Canis lupus familiaris: one gene and its partners. The protein of the gene in region 3 interacts with the protein of the main gene of each other region in a pairwise test. Links are inferred from orthologs where the notes say so. Each region holds a gene or a part of one and is shown on either strand. Other genes may lie near its edges.

The links.
Region 1: the proteins of GLP1R (region 3) and SLC15A4 interact in a protein complementation assay, tested with the Homo sapiens proteins (2 studies listed by BioGRID). The link is inferred for Canis lupus familiaris from reciprocal best matches to the Homo sapiens genes GLP1R and SLC15A4.
Region 2: the proteins of GLP1R (region 3) and CD81 interact in a protein complementation assay, tested with the Homo sapiens proteins (2 studies listed by BioGRID). The link is inferred for Canis lupus familiaris from reciprocal best matches to the Homo sapiens genes GLP1R and CD81.

What each region holds. Positions count from the first base shown.
Region 1 is NC_049247.1:2,994,630-2,999,009, reverse strand, and holds the start of SLC15A4 (solute carrier family 15 member 4), read right to left. Parts: upstream 2,854-4,380; 5' UTR 2,842-2,853; coding exon 2,314-2,841; intron 2,081-2,313; exon of another isoform or gene 1,132-2,080; intron 564-1,131; exon of another isoform or gene 315-563; intron 1-314. UniProt on the Homo sapiens protein: Proton-coupled amino-acid transporter that mediates the transmembrane transport of L-histidine and some di- and tripeptides from inside the lysosome to the cytosol, and plays a key role in innate immune response.
Region 2 is NC_049239.1:46,926,083-46,929,663, reverse strand, and holds the end of CD81 (CD81 antigen), read right to left. Parts: intron 3,547-3,581; coding exon 3,449-3,546; intron 2,820-3,448; coding exon 2,745-2,819; intron 2,396-2,744; coding exon 2,291-2,395; intron 1,877-2,290; coding exon 1,775-1,876; intron 1,285-1,774; coding exon 1,198-1,284; intron 1,117-1,197; coding exon 1,054-1,116; 3' UTR 543-1,053; downstream 1-542. UniProt on the Homo sapiens protein: Structural component of specialized membrane microdomains known as tetraspanin-enriched microdomains (TERMs), which act as platforms for receptor clustering and signaling.
Region 3 is NC_049233.1:8,211,504-8,215,144, reverse strand, and holds part of GLP1R (glucagon-like peptide 1 receptor), read right to left. Parts: intron 2,088-3,641; coding exon 1,968-2,087; coding exon of another isoform or gene 1,920-1,967; exon of another isoform or gene 1,789-1,919; coding exon 1,675-1,788; 3' UTR 1-1,674.

The DNA of each region.
Region 1 (4,380 bases), on a different chromosome or scaffold from region 3:
ATGAAATACTCTTGAGGCTTAATGATTTAAAAATAAATTGCAGCATGATAACATTTCACCCCATATGAATCTAAAAATAAAGCCACTCTTCTACATGACCACAAACCATTATCCCACCCAAGAAATTGAACATCAATGCCATTTTATCTAATGTGTGGTCTATCATCAAATTACCCTAATTGTCCCTCAAAATGGCTTTAAAAAAAAAACAAAACAAAACACCAGGGATCCAATCAGAACACACACATTGCCTTTGTTTCTCAAGTCTAACATCCTTGAATCTAGAGTGGCCCTATTTCTTTCAGGATAGTGTCATATTTGAAGAGATTAGCCCAGTTAACTCACAGAAGAGAGCACTTTTTTTTTTTTTTTAACGTCGACACGTTATTACACATCCTGTCATGCATTCTCGATAACCTCTATAAGACCACTCCTTCCTTTATGAAATGTTGATTGCTCATCCATCATGGACTGGAGACAACTGACTTCATGTTGGCCTGCCCAGGTCCAAACACAGCTCCTATTGCCCTGCTGTGGTTCTGGGCCGGTCAAACGTCCTCAGCCTGTGTTAAGATAGACACATGCAGTCTGTAGAGTGTCCTGAGGCTACGAGAAGGCAAAGTAACAAGTACAGTGAGGACACGACAAACATTCACATGGCATGTGGGCCGTGTCTTTCAAGGGGCTTCACTGCGCTGCCAATGCTGCGCCTTCACTGATGACACCCAAGACGGAAGCCACGAGCCTGGGCTCTGAGACCCGACTATGACCCAGCTGTGCTAGGTAGGTCTCAGAAAGCACATCTCGAAGCCATGGTTAAAACAGAGGTCAGGAAATCAGACCCGGACTACAACCGTGGCTTGCCCACTCACTACAAGAAGTCATCTTTTGTACCTCCGCCTCCTTGGGGGAGTCAACGAGGTCATGTGTGTAACACATGCTCATTTCCTGGCGCAGAGAAGAATTTGGAACATGAGGCAGCGATCTCTCAACATTATTGAGATTCAGCAAGGCGCCACCTCACTGTAAAGGGTAGCCGGACAGGGTCCACTTAAAGCTCAGACTAAGGACAGGCACCTGCATCCTGGCTCAGTCAGGCACTAGCTGTGTGACTTTGGGCAAATGATTTACCTCTCAAGCCTTATGTATAAAATGGGCACAAGAGCAGCAGCAGCGTCACGACGACTGATGAAGCACGGAGAGAGGGCCTGGAGAACAGTAAGCCGTATGTGCCGTCACGTCAAGTTCAGCACAAACACCTGGGGATCATCTTCCCTGCGGCTGCCGACCCCACCTCCACGCTCTTCACTCTGTGTCCACTCGACCCACCTCCGTCCAAATCCCTCTCTGTAACCCGGCCAGCATGATGGACTGCCTTCTGGTACGCCTGAGGTTCTCACTTCCCTCCCTAGTCTGCACACATCACAAACTTCTTCTGTGAACGGGCGGGGCGCACACGTTTTAGGTATTGAGTTGAGAGACATCTGGCCTTTGTCACAAGTCCCCAGTTGTGCTACTGCAAGGTGACAGCGGCCACTCACAGCTGGTGCGGGCCCAGCGGGCCGTGACTGTTCCGATGAAGCTTTAATTAGGGAGACCAACGTCTGAGTTTCATAAATTTTTCCCCTGTCACAGGAGACTCTGCTTTTTCCCTACCGCTTGAGAACCTAAGAACCACTCTCGCTGTTGGCTCGCAGGCCCCCCCGAAGCAGGAAGTGGGCAGGTTTGGCTGCCAGGACACAGCTGCTGGGCGCACCTGCGCTCGGAGGACCTGCTTCTCGAAGACGCCGCTCGACGCGGCACACCCGCAACAGCTTCCTACTGTACTCGAAGCACACCCACGAGTCTTTTAAAAGCCCCACGGGACCTGGCCTCGGCCCGCCGGTCCTTTCCCACTTCTGTTTCCCTGCAGCATAGTTGCCGTCTGCGGCTAAGCGCGCACCCTCCGCGTTGACTTGACAGGGACGCGCCGCGGCCTGAGCGTCACGTGGCCTCTTCAGAGCCCGGAGCCGCGAGGCGCCCGCCCAGGCCGTGACCCCGGGGTCCCGGGCTGGGGTCCCGGGCTGGAGCCCCGCGGCGGGCTGCCCGCAGGGGGCCTGCTCCTCCCTCTAGAGGCCTGGGTCTCTGCCTCTCTTTGTGCCTCTCATGAGTAAATAAGTAACATCTTAAGAAAAAAAAAGGGGAACCGGAGCGTCGGTCCGTGGCGGCCCCGCGGCTCTGCACCCGTGGCCGAGGTCGCCCCGGGGGCCCCGGTGGGGCCGGGGGTGTGGTGCTCGGGGCTCGCCGCTCGCCCGCCCCCCCGCCCCCGCTCACCTGGTCCGCCCCGAAGGGCGTGACGTTGGCCTTGACGGCGCCCACGCCGAGGCCGACGAGCGCCAGCGCCGAGAGCGCGGCCGGGGCGCAGTAGCGGGCGGGCGCGTCGGGGCAGGGCGGCGCGGAGCAGTTGCGGAGGCGCGTGGGGCGCGGGGCCCCGCAGAGCGCGGCGCGGGGCGCGGGCGCGGCCAGCAGCGGCAAGGCCAGCATGCCCAGCAGGTAGAGCGCCAGGCTGAGCAGGATGGCGCGCGCGCGGCCCAGCTGCGCGTCGGCCAGCCAGCCCCCGAACGGCGACACCAGGTAGGCGAGGCCCACGAAGAGCAGCAGCGCCTGGCTGGCCTGCGCGCCCTCCCAGCCGAACGGCGCGCCGTTCAGGAACAGCACCAGGTTGGCCGTGACGCCGTAGAAGGCGGCGCGCTCCAGCAGCTCCGTCAGCAGCACCGCCGCGCACGCCGCCCGCCGGCCCGCGAACGCCCCCCGCCGCGCGCCCAGCAGCGGCGCCCGCTCGCCCGCCGCCGCGCCCTCCATGCGCCCGCCGCCGCCGCCACTCGGCCGCCGCCCTTCTCGCGAGACCCGCCCGACGACGCGCCCCGGCCCGGCCAGGCCCGGCCCGGCCCGCCCCGCCCCTCGCGCGTCCCTCCCGGCGGCGCCGCCGCCCTTCTCGCGAGAGCCGCTCGGCCCGCCGCCCTGGGCCGGGGGCCGCGCGCCGCCGGCAACTTCCGTTTCCGCCCGGAAGCCCGGCGGGGCGGGGCGGGGCGGGGCAGCTTCCGCCGGGCCGCGGTGGCCCCACAGCCCCGGCTCCGGGTGCGCGCGCCGACGGGGCTTCTGTCCCTGTGCCCGCAGCCCCGGCGACGGCGACGGCGCCCCGCGACACCCGGCCTCGCTCCGGCCTCGCTCCGGCCTCGGGGCCAGCCGAGCGGCGGGCGCGCAGGTAGGGAGCCTGCCCCCACGCTCCAGCGAGCGCCCCTGCGCCTCTTGTTCTCCCGGACGCGCGCCCCCTGGACCGCCACCCGCCCCGGGCCGGCACGCAGCAGGCGGCAGGGAGCGGCCGGAGGGAGGCCCCGGGGCTCGGGGGAGCGTCCGCCTTCGGCTCCGGCTGGGGTCCGGGCCCGCGATCGACCCCGCGTCGGGCTCCCTGCGTGGGGCCTGCCTCTCCCTCCGCCCCCCCCCCATGTGTGTCTCATGAATAAATGAATCTTTAAAGAAAAAGAAAAAAAAGAGGAGCCCTTGCGTGCTGGAGGGACCTTCACACGGTCGTTCAAGCTCCTCGTTCTCAGCTCCGAAGCTCGGATGTCACGTTTCCGACCCCCCAGCAGAGGGCGGAGCCCTCCTCACGCCCCGGGAGCGCCCTCCACCTCTGTCTGCACAGCACCGTGTAAAGTTAGGATCGTGCGTTTTGCGAAAACGATTTAACGTGTCTTCAGACCTGGGAGGGATGGGAATTTCTTTGTCCGTCCCCCGTAGTCCAAGAACCTAGCACAAATCCTCGCAAGCGGTAAGTACATGTGGAACCCAACAAACGAATATTTGTTGATTTTTAAGTGGTGCCGAAAGAAAGTTTTATGTTCGATTCTTTTTTTTTTTTTTTTTTTTGGACTTCCCTGATGTTCTAAAGCATACATCAGTCTCCTAATTTAGCTGAAAGGCAAACCGCTTAAGATTTCTGTCTGGGGTCATACACTCAGTAGAGCGGAGTCTTCAATTAAAGGCTTTTACTTAATTCCTCGTACAAGGCTCTGCCTCTTCCACATTCTGGCTGGAATCTGAGACAGAACCTTCAAGTATTTGCTAAAAGACTGGTAAAACTGACACTCAGGCAAAGCGCAGAGTAAATAGGGGATAAAAGTTAAGCCGTCTGACTTAGCGTGTGATGATTTAGTGGGAAGCCCTGGCCCGTGCGGATGTGCCATTTCAGATGACGGCAACGGAAGGGAGTTGGATTATCTCGGCTAAGAAGTATAAAGCTAAGTGAGCAAAGCGAGAGTTCAGGACGTACCCTAGGAACGAACTTTGAGCAGTTCCTCTCGTGGGTAAGGAAATCAGCCGTACCCTGCAGTCTCTGACACC
Region 2 (3,581 bases), on a different chromosome or scaffold from region 3:
CCTCCACATGAATCCCAGCCAGGCCCTCATGGCCTCAAGGGGCCAGTTCAGCATACACCAGGTCAGTGCCTGCACTCAGCTCATGGTGACATCACCCAGCACTCCCGAGGGGGTGGGGGTGGGAGGAGGCAGCTGGGCCCCGGTCCAGGACGGGGGTGGGTCGGGTGGACTCCGCACACAGTGGCTGAGACCTTGCTCCCCAGCTTCTCCACGGAACACCTAGAAGCTCTGAAGAGTCCCTTCGGAGCATGGGAGGGTCAGTGTGCCTGTCCTCTACAGAGCGGGCCCCCAGGATGGAGGGGAGTCTTGCAGGCTCTACGCCACATTACCTGAGTGCCCCCTCTGGGCAGTGGTGTCCACAGAGTGGGTAGGGGAGTGAGCTGGGTGGAAGCTGCTGACGGTGGCACCGGGCCCACCAAAGGGGCCCCTCACACCCTGCAAGGTCCGCGGAGCTGAGCCAAGCCTCACCCATGCCGGCCCACCTGCCGCTCCAGCTGCGCCCTGGGTCTCAGACGCCGCAGCCACAGGAAGGGGCCAGACAGTTTGTTAGCATGCCCGGTTTTTCCTTCTTTATTGAATGACTTTGAAGATGTAATTACAGCTGAAGGTGACGAGTTAGAGAGGACAGGTGCACTGAAGGTGAAGGCTGCTGGCAGACCCGGCTCGGGACAAGTGGCGACAGGAACGAGGGTTAAAAGGCATGAGCCGTGCAGCCCGTGGGCAGGTGGGTGGGCCCCGGGGCCCCCGGGCCCCCGGGAGAGGCCTGACTAAGCAGGCGGAGCCCCCAAGCAGCTGCAGAAGCAGAGCGGCCCCTGCCTCACGGTCCCCAAGGCCCACTCACACGCCGTCTCTAGGTGACTTCAGCCCCAAAAGGTAACGGGGGACTTCAGGACAGAAAACCTCAGAAGTAAAAAGGCTAATAAGTGTAGCAGAGTAATACCAGAGAAGTTATATACACAGGCGCTGACGGCCCCTCCTCAGAATGTCCGGTCACTCTAGGGGCCCTGCAGGGTTCCCAGCGGCCCTCCCCGCAGCAGGTGCAGCCGGGGCCGCTCAGTACACGGAGCTGTTCCGGATGCCGCAGCAGAGCACCATGCTCAGGATCATCTCGAAGATCTGTGGGGACGGGTGGGTGGGACTGTCAGCACCCGGAGACTGTGGGGCCGCCTCACGCGGATGCCTGGCCCGTGTACTCACCATGATCACGGCCACCACGATGGCTGCAATGCCAATGAGGTACAGCTTCCCCGAGAAGAGGTCATCGATCTTCTGGTGGCAGTCCTCCTGTGGGGGACAGCCCGCCGACGGTCAGGAGTGCAGGCCCTCGGGCCCCTCAGTGCAGCGGCTCGGGGTCATTGTGGCAAGAGAAGGGAGGGGCTCGATTCCCTGAAGACGTGCCACCAGGGCCTGGTCTCTGCCAGGTTATCTCACGTCCATTTTAAAGCAGATGTGGAGGGGGCGCCTGGGAGGCTCAGCGGGTGAAGCATCTGTCTTGGGTTCAGGGCAGGTCCCGGGTTCTGGGATCAATCCCCATGTTGGGCTCCCTGCTTAGCAGGGAGTCTGCTTCTCCCTCTGCCCCTCCTCCTGCTCGTGTTCTCTCTCTCTCTCTCTCTCTCCCTCTCCCTCTCGCTCACTCTCTCTCTCAAAATGTTTAAAATAAATAAAGCAGATGTGGAAACGGAAGGTGCTGTGTGCAGAGCCAGGGGCCCAACCCAGCTGGGCTGCTGGACGCGACGTGGGGCCAACCCTGGGCGGCCCAGTGGGCTCCATGTACCTTGAACAAGTTGCTAATGACGTTGCTGCCAGAGGGACACAGGCTGTTCTTGAGCATGGAGGTGGTGAGCGCGGAGAGCGTGCTGGAGCCACAGCAGTTGAGCTGCACGGAGGACACCTGCGGTCAGCCCGGGCCGTGTGCACAGAGGACCACAGGGACACGGCCAGGGACATACACCCCGTGGGCTGCCCAAGCCCCAGGGGTGTCCCCAGCCAGGGAGGGTCTGCTCCTCAAGAAGAACAGCCCAGGACTCCTCATCCCCTCCACCCTTGGCTGTGCTGCTCAGAGACCCCCACACCCAGGCCTTCCTACTGCCCATCTGGCTCACACAGGGGACCTGCAGGTCCCAGACAATCCCCTGGGCGGGGGGGGGGGGGGGGTCCCAGATAGGGCTCCACGGCCCTCCAGGAGAAGGGCTTCCAGGTCTCCAGTGCCCCACGGAGACCAGATTCAACCCCAGCCAGGCCTCACTCACGGAGGACAACCCTCCTGCACCCCCAGCACCCCCTGCCGCACCGTCTCATGGAAGGTCTTCACCACGGCCTTGGCATTGTTGGCTTCGTCGTCCACCACGGCCTGCTGCAGAGCCTGGTCGTAGAATTGCTTCACATCCTTGGCGATCTGGGGGGAGGGTGTGCGGGAGGGCCGAGGTCACCCCACAGCAAGGACCACCCCAGAGAGGGGGGCAAGCGGTTCACCTGGCTCTCTTGAGAAGATAATGCTTCCAGGGTAGACCAGGATTGCCCCCCATCACCACTCGAGGCTGGGAGACAGGTGGCCCTGCCTTCTCCTCAGCCCCCGCGCCACCTCCTCCAGAAAGCCCTCCGTGGCCTTTCTACCAGGCAGGCCCCAGGGGGAGCCCCAAAGAGCACCCTGCGATCCCAGGGTAGGCCCAACCTGAGCAGCAGGCGGGCACCCCTCCCTCCTGACCCTGCTGGGATGGGCCCCACCACCGTGATCCCGGGCTCACCTGGTCTTTGTTGACAAAGCCCCAGATGCCGGCAGCTACTTCACAGGCAAACAGGATGACGAGGCAGGTGAAGAACTGGGAAGGCCATGCAGGACCCAGAGGGGAGGGCAGAGACATGCGGGGTGAGAACAGGCGTGGGGTCACGCAGATGCCGGACGTCCGAGTGACCCGCAGGTGCATGTGTGGGGTTGGCCTCCACTCCGCACGTCCCATCCAGGGAGCAGCCGTGCGGAGGTGAAAAGCAGCGAGGGGGAAGAGTCAGTCCCAGCAGTGACATGCCAGTGTTCTCAGCAGCCCTACAGGCTGGGGCTGGGGTCCCAAGGAAGCCCCTTCCACACCCCACTTCTCCCTCTGCCCACGGGAAGGGAGCATCGTGACACGGCCACCCACTGCCCCGTTTCCCGACTGCCTGGGCCTCTGTGTCCCCGTGGAGGTTGGCCCAAGGGACATGGCCCTATTGTTTCTGGCTTTTTACTAAAACCAGAGAGGAAAACTGTGGAACTCTGAGTTTGGAACCAGACATCCCAGCAGTCAACCAGGACCGGATTTCAGGACCAGAAAGGGACGTTGGGGCTGACGTTCTGGGCTAGGTCCCCAGGCTGCCCTGCGAGCCCCCCTCCACGGCCTCCCACACTGGCAAGGGATGCACCCAGCAGAGCTCCAGGCTCTGTCTCTGTGTCCCCCAGCCCCACTCACGACCTTACCGTCCCCAGCAGGCACTGGGACTCCTGGATGGCCCCATAGCAGCCCAGGAACCCAACGAACATCATCACAGCGCCCACGGCGATGAGGATGTAGATGCCTTTGTGGGAGAGCAGGGACACCCTCAGTGAGCAG
Region 3 (3,641 bases):
CACTTGCACCAGAGCTGTCCGCCGCCATCAACTCACTGGCACTCATCTTCCCCCTTCCTGCTCTCCCCTCCAAAGAGAAAGTCAAGGAGTGGGGCCTGCTGGAAAATCCTCTCTTATTCTGGGGAAGCAGGGGTGCCCCCATCCTCCACCTCTCTACATTTTCTCCAGGAGCCATTCTGCATACTTCGCCTTTAGCCTGAGGTTCAGCTTCCCCATTAACAAAGACACAACACTTCACTGAAGCTGAAGTATAAGAAATTTTCTGCTTGATGTGTTTTATGTCCCATTATTATTTTCCCCGTACATCACATGCCTCTCTGAGAAGCACAGGAAAATGTGTCTGGTGCAAGGCTCTGGGGAGGGTCCCCCACCACTTAAAAAGAAGGAGGGAGGGATGGATCCATAAAGAAATTCACCCAAAGCCTCTCCCTCTGCCTTCCCAGGAGGTCTGGACTCCTCTAAGAGTTCTCTCCTACTTGGGAAACTTCCTTTGCATCCACAAACTTCACTGCCAGCCTCCCTGGGATGGCTCTTTCCCTTTTGTCTGGGTTTCTGTAGTGTTGCTACATGTCTGCCCTCTCCTGGTGGTGGGGGCAGGACTGAGAGGTTTTCCCTGTGTAGCCTCTCTGCTGGTCATTATTTATGGGATGAAACTGGAGGCAGGGAAAACACCGATTGGCTCAACATGTGGCTGAGTCAATTCAGTTACTACCTCACTCCCCTCAACAACATCACAATCACAATGGTTTCGTTCTTTTTTTTCCATCAGGTGGGAGAAATCAGAGTCACACATTTGCACATGCAGACCATTCACAGCAATAAAGAAAAATGAATAAAGTATATACAGGCTCCCAAGTTGCGGACTTTCATGGTAAAGAAACCAGGGACAAGGGGAAGACAGCTTCCGAGGTAACAGGGGCAACTGGTAGTTTCCCCCAGAGGTCCCTTTTTGGTCACAGCTCTTAGAGGGCACACCCAAACTCCCATGCAAGGTACATAATCTGGTCACAAAAAGCCTTTCCCCAGGGAGGTGGAAATAAAGCTTCAGCCTTGCTGGGTTCCCAACGGTTGCAGGTACACTATACCTCCCAGCGCGAGCATTTCCTAGAGTTCCCGAGTTGAATCCCAGAGGACTCTAGAACATCTCTAGAATAGAATTCAGAGCTCACATGGAGAGCTGGGCTCCTCGGCACTAGGCCTGCCCTGGTTCCCCGGGCAGAGTGGCGGCAGGCAGCATACCGAGGCAGGTCAAATACCCACGGGAGAAGTGGGCACACCAGCAAAGGAAACTGTTGGGCACATTCTCAGCATTCGTTCTCAACACTATCCACAGCCGTTTCTAGAAAGAGCTGCGGTGGTGCCCAAACAAAGCCCCCACAGAGAAGCTGGGTGGTGAGATATGGGGGCAAGATGAACAAGTGACAAACAGGAACAGTGTCCCTTAATGAGGAGGCAGTAGGGGTGGTGACCCTACTGGAGGCAAGCAGAGTTGGCTCACCTTCCCTAAGCTCTGCTTGGCTGAGGCTACACAGGCCTCTTCCTGAACCACCTCCTCTTGCAAACCGCCATCCCGCTAATAAGCCATTGACCTTGGTGTGAATGTGGGGCTGATTTGCTGCTCTGTCTTGGGGAACCCCAGGGGCCTGGTGGCTTAACGGCAAGAAATCCTCCTTGTCATAGCAGCCATCGGTTTTTCTCTTCTCCTGCCGCCGTGATCAAATTAGCAAGCTGCTTCTCTTCAGAGGAAATGTGGCCATGGGTCCCAGGAGGCACTGCCCATTTGCCTGTCTGATGGGTTTGGGAAGGGAAAGCAGGGATGTAGGTGAGCATGTCCCTCCCCGCCCAGCCCCACAGGGCCTCTCCCACCTTGGACAGCCAGCCGGCCCGCAGCGGGACCACAGGGAGGGGGTGCTGGGGTCTTAGCTGCAGGAGGCCTGGCAGCTGGCCGCGTACACACTGCTGCCCACCGTGCCCCCGCTGCTCAGGCTGCTGGTGGGGCACTTCAGGGGCCTCATGCTGCTGTCTCTCTGCACGTGCAAGTGCTCGAGCCGCCAGCGCTCCCAGCTCCTCCGAAACTCCATCTGGACCTTCCGTGGGAAAAGGAGGGGAACAAAAGCCATCATGCAAACCAACTGCCCACAAAATGGCCCCGTTATTACATTAGTAGGGAAGGGGAAAAAAAAATCCACTGCATTATATTAAGAGACACGAGTCAAGGCCTTCGGGCGCCTAAATTAATATCCCAATAAAATTGTTTATCGTTGTCTCCTATTTTCTGCCTCTCCTCAGGAGAGAGATGAGGTTGATGATCTAATTGGTCGCTTCCATCTCTAAACTCCGTGACTCAGCTAAGTACCTTTCACAATCCATCACGGTATTATTTAACGGAAGAGAACGAGAGCGAGAGCAATGCGGGAGAGCAGAGCGGAGAGATGGGAGGGAGAGAACGAGGAGGGGGAGCCTGACTTCAGGGCAGCGTGGAGCGGAGATGGCCCGAGCCTGCCTGCGGGGATGGCCCTGGGGTCCTGGGCCACGTCACCGGACCTGGGCGTGGGTGCAGGAGGGAGGACAGCAGACACCGCCTAGGGCCACCCAGCCCCGTGCCACCTCACTGCCCCGCTGAGCGCGGGTGGTGGGTGTGCTGATGGGGGTGGAGGGGTGGGGGGGGGGACAACGGGACACCCGAGGCTGAGGGGGGCTTCTGCTCAGGTGGCAGCACGGAGACCAATCTTGTCTCACAGCCCTTAACTGTGGCAGGTGGGGAGAAAAGTGGTAAACTGAGGCACATCTGTGGGAAGCCACCATGGGGACTGAAGTGGTTTCATGGACACCGGCAGGAAAAGGGACTCTGTTATGTACCCTCGCCCCCCCCCCATGACAACTGATATTAAAAGCCACCAATTGGGGCGCCTGGGTGGCTCAGTTGGTTAAGCGTCTGCCTTCAGCTCAGGTCATGATCCCAGGGTCCTGGGATGGAGCCCTGCGTCAGGATCCCTGCTTAGTGGGGAGTCTGCTTCTCCTTCTGCCCCTCACCCTGCTCGTGCTCTCTCTCTCTCTCTCTCACTCTCTCTGTGTCTCTCAAATCAATCAATCAATCAATCAATCTTTAAAATAAAAGCCACCATTTATTGGCCACTTACTACATGCCGAGCACTCCCCGGAGATTATTTTAGTTAACTTTCTCGGCAACCCTGTGAAGCAGCTCCTGTTATTCTTGCCCGCTGCAAGGTGGAGAAACTGAGGGGCAGAGTACTTCAGAATTTCCCTTGGGTCTCAGCCAGGATCCAAACCTAGATCTGGGCTGACCTCAAAGCTGGCATCCTAAGCACTGGCCTCCTGGCTTCCAGGACTGTCTAGGTCATGCTGGTTTCTGGCATGTGTCCTGCCCACTCAGCTGGGAGCACCTCAAGGGCCGGGACCCCATCTTCCTCATCTGGGATCCCTTGGACCCAGCCCAGTGCCTGGCAAACAACAGGCCTTCCCTACGTGCTTTGTAAATGACCCGAAGGAAGGAGCGAGTGACAAAATGAGCATCTGACTCTGGGCTCTTTTGGCTACGAAACAGCAGAGGGGACACCGTGAATCTGACTCCCGTCCTAGTACTTAGGGCGGAGCACTTCCTCACACTAAGCCTACCTGAC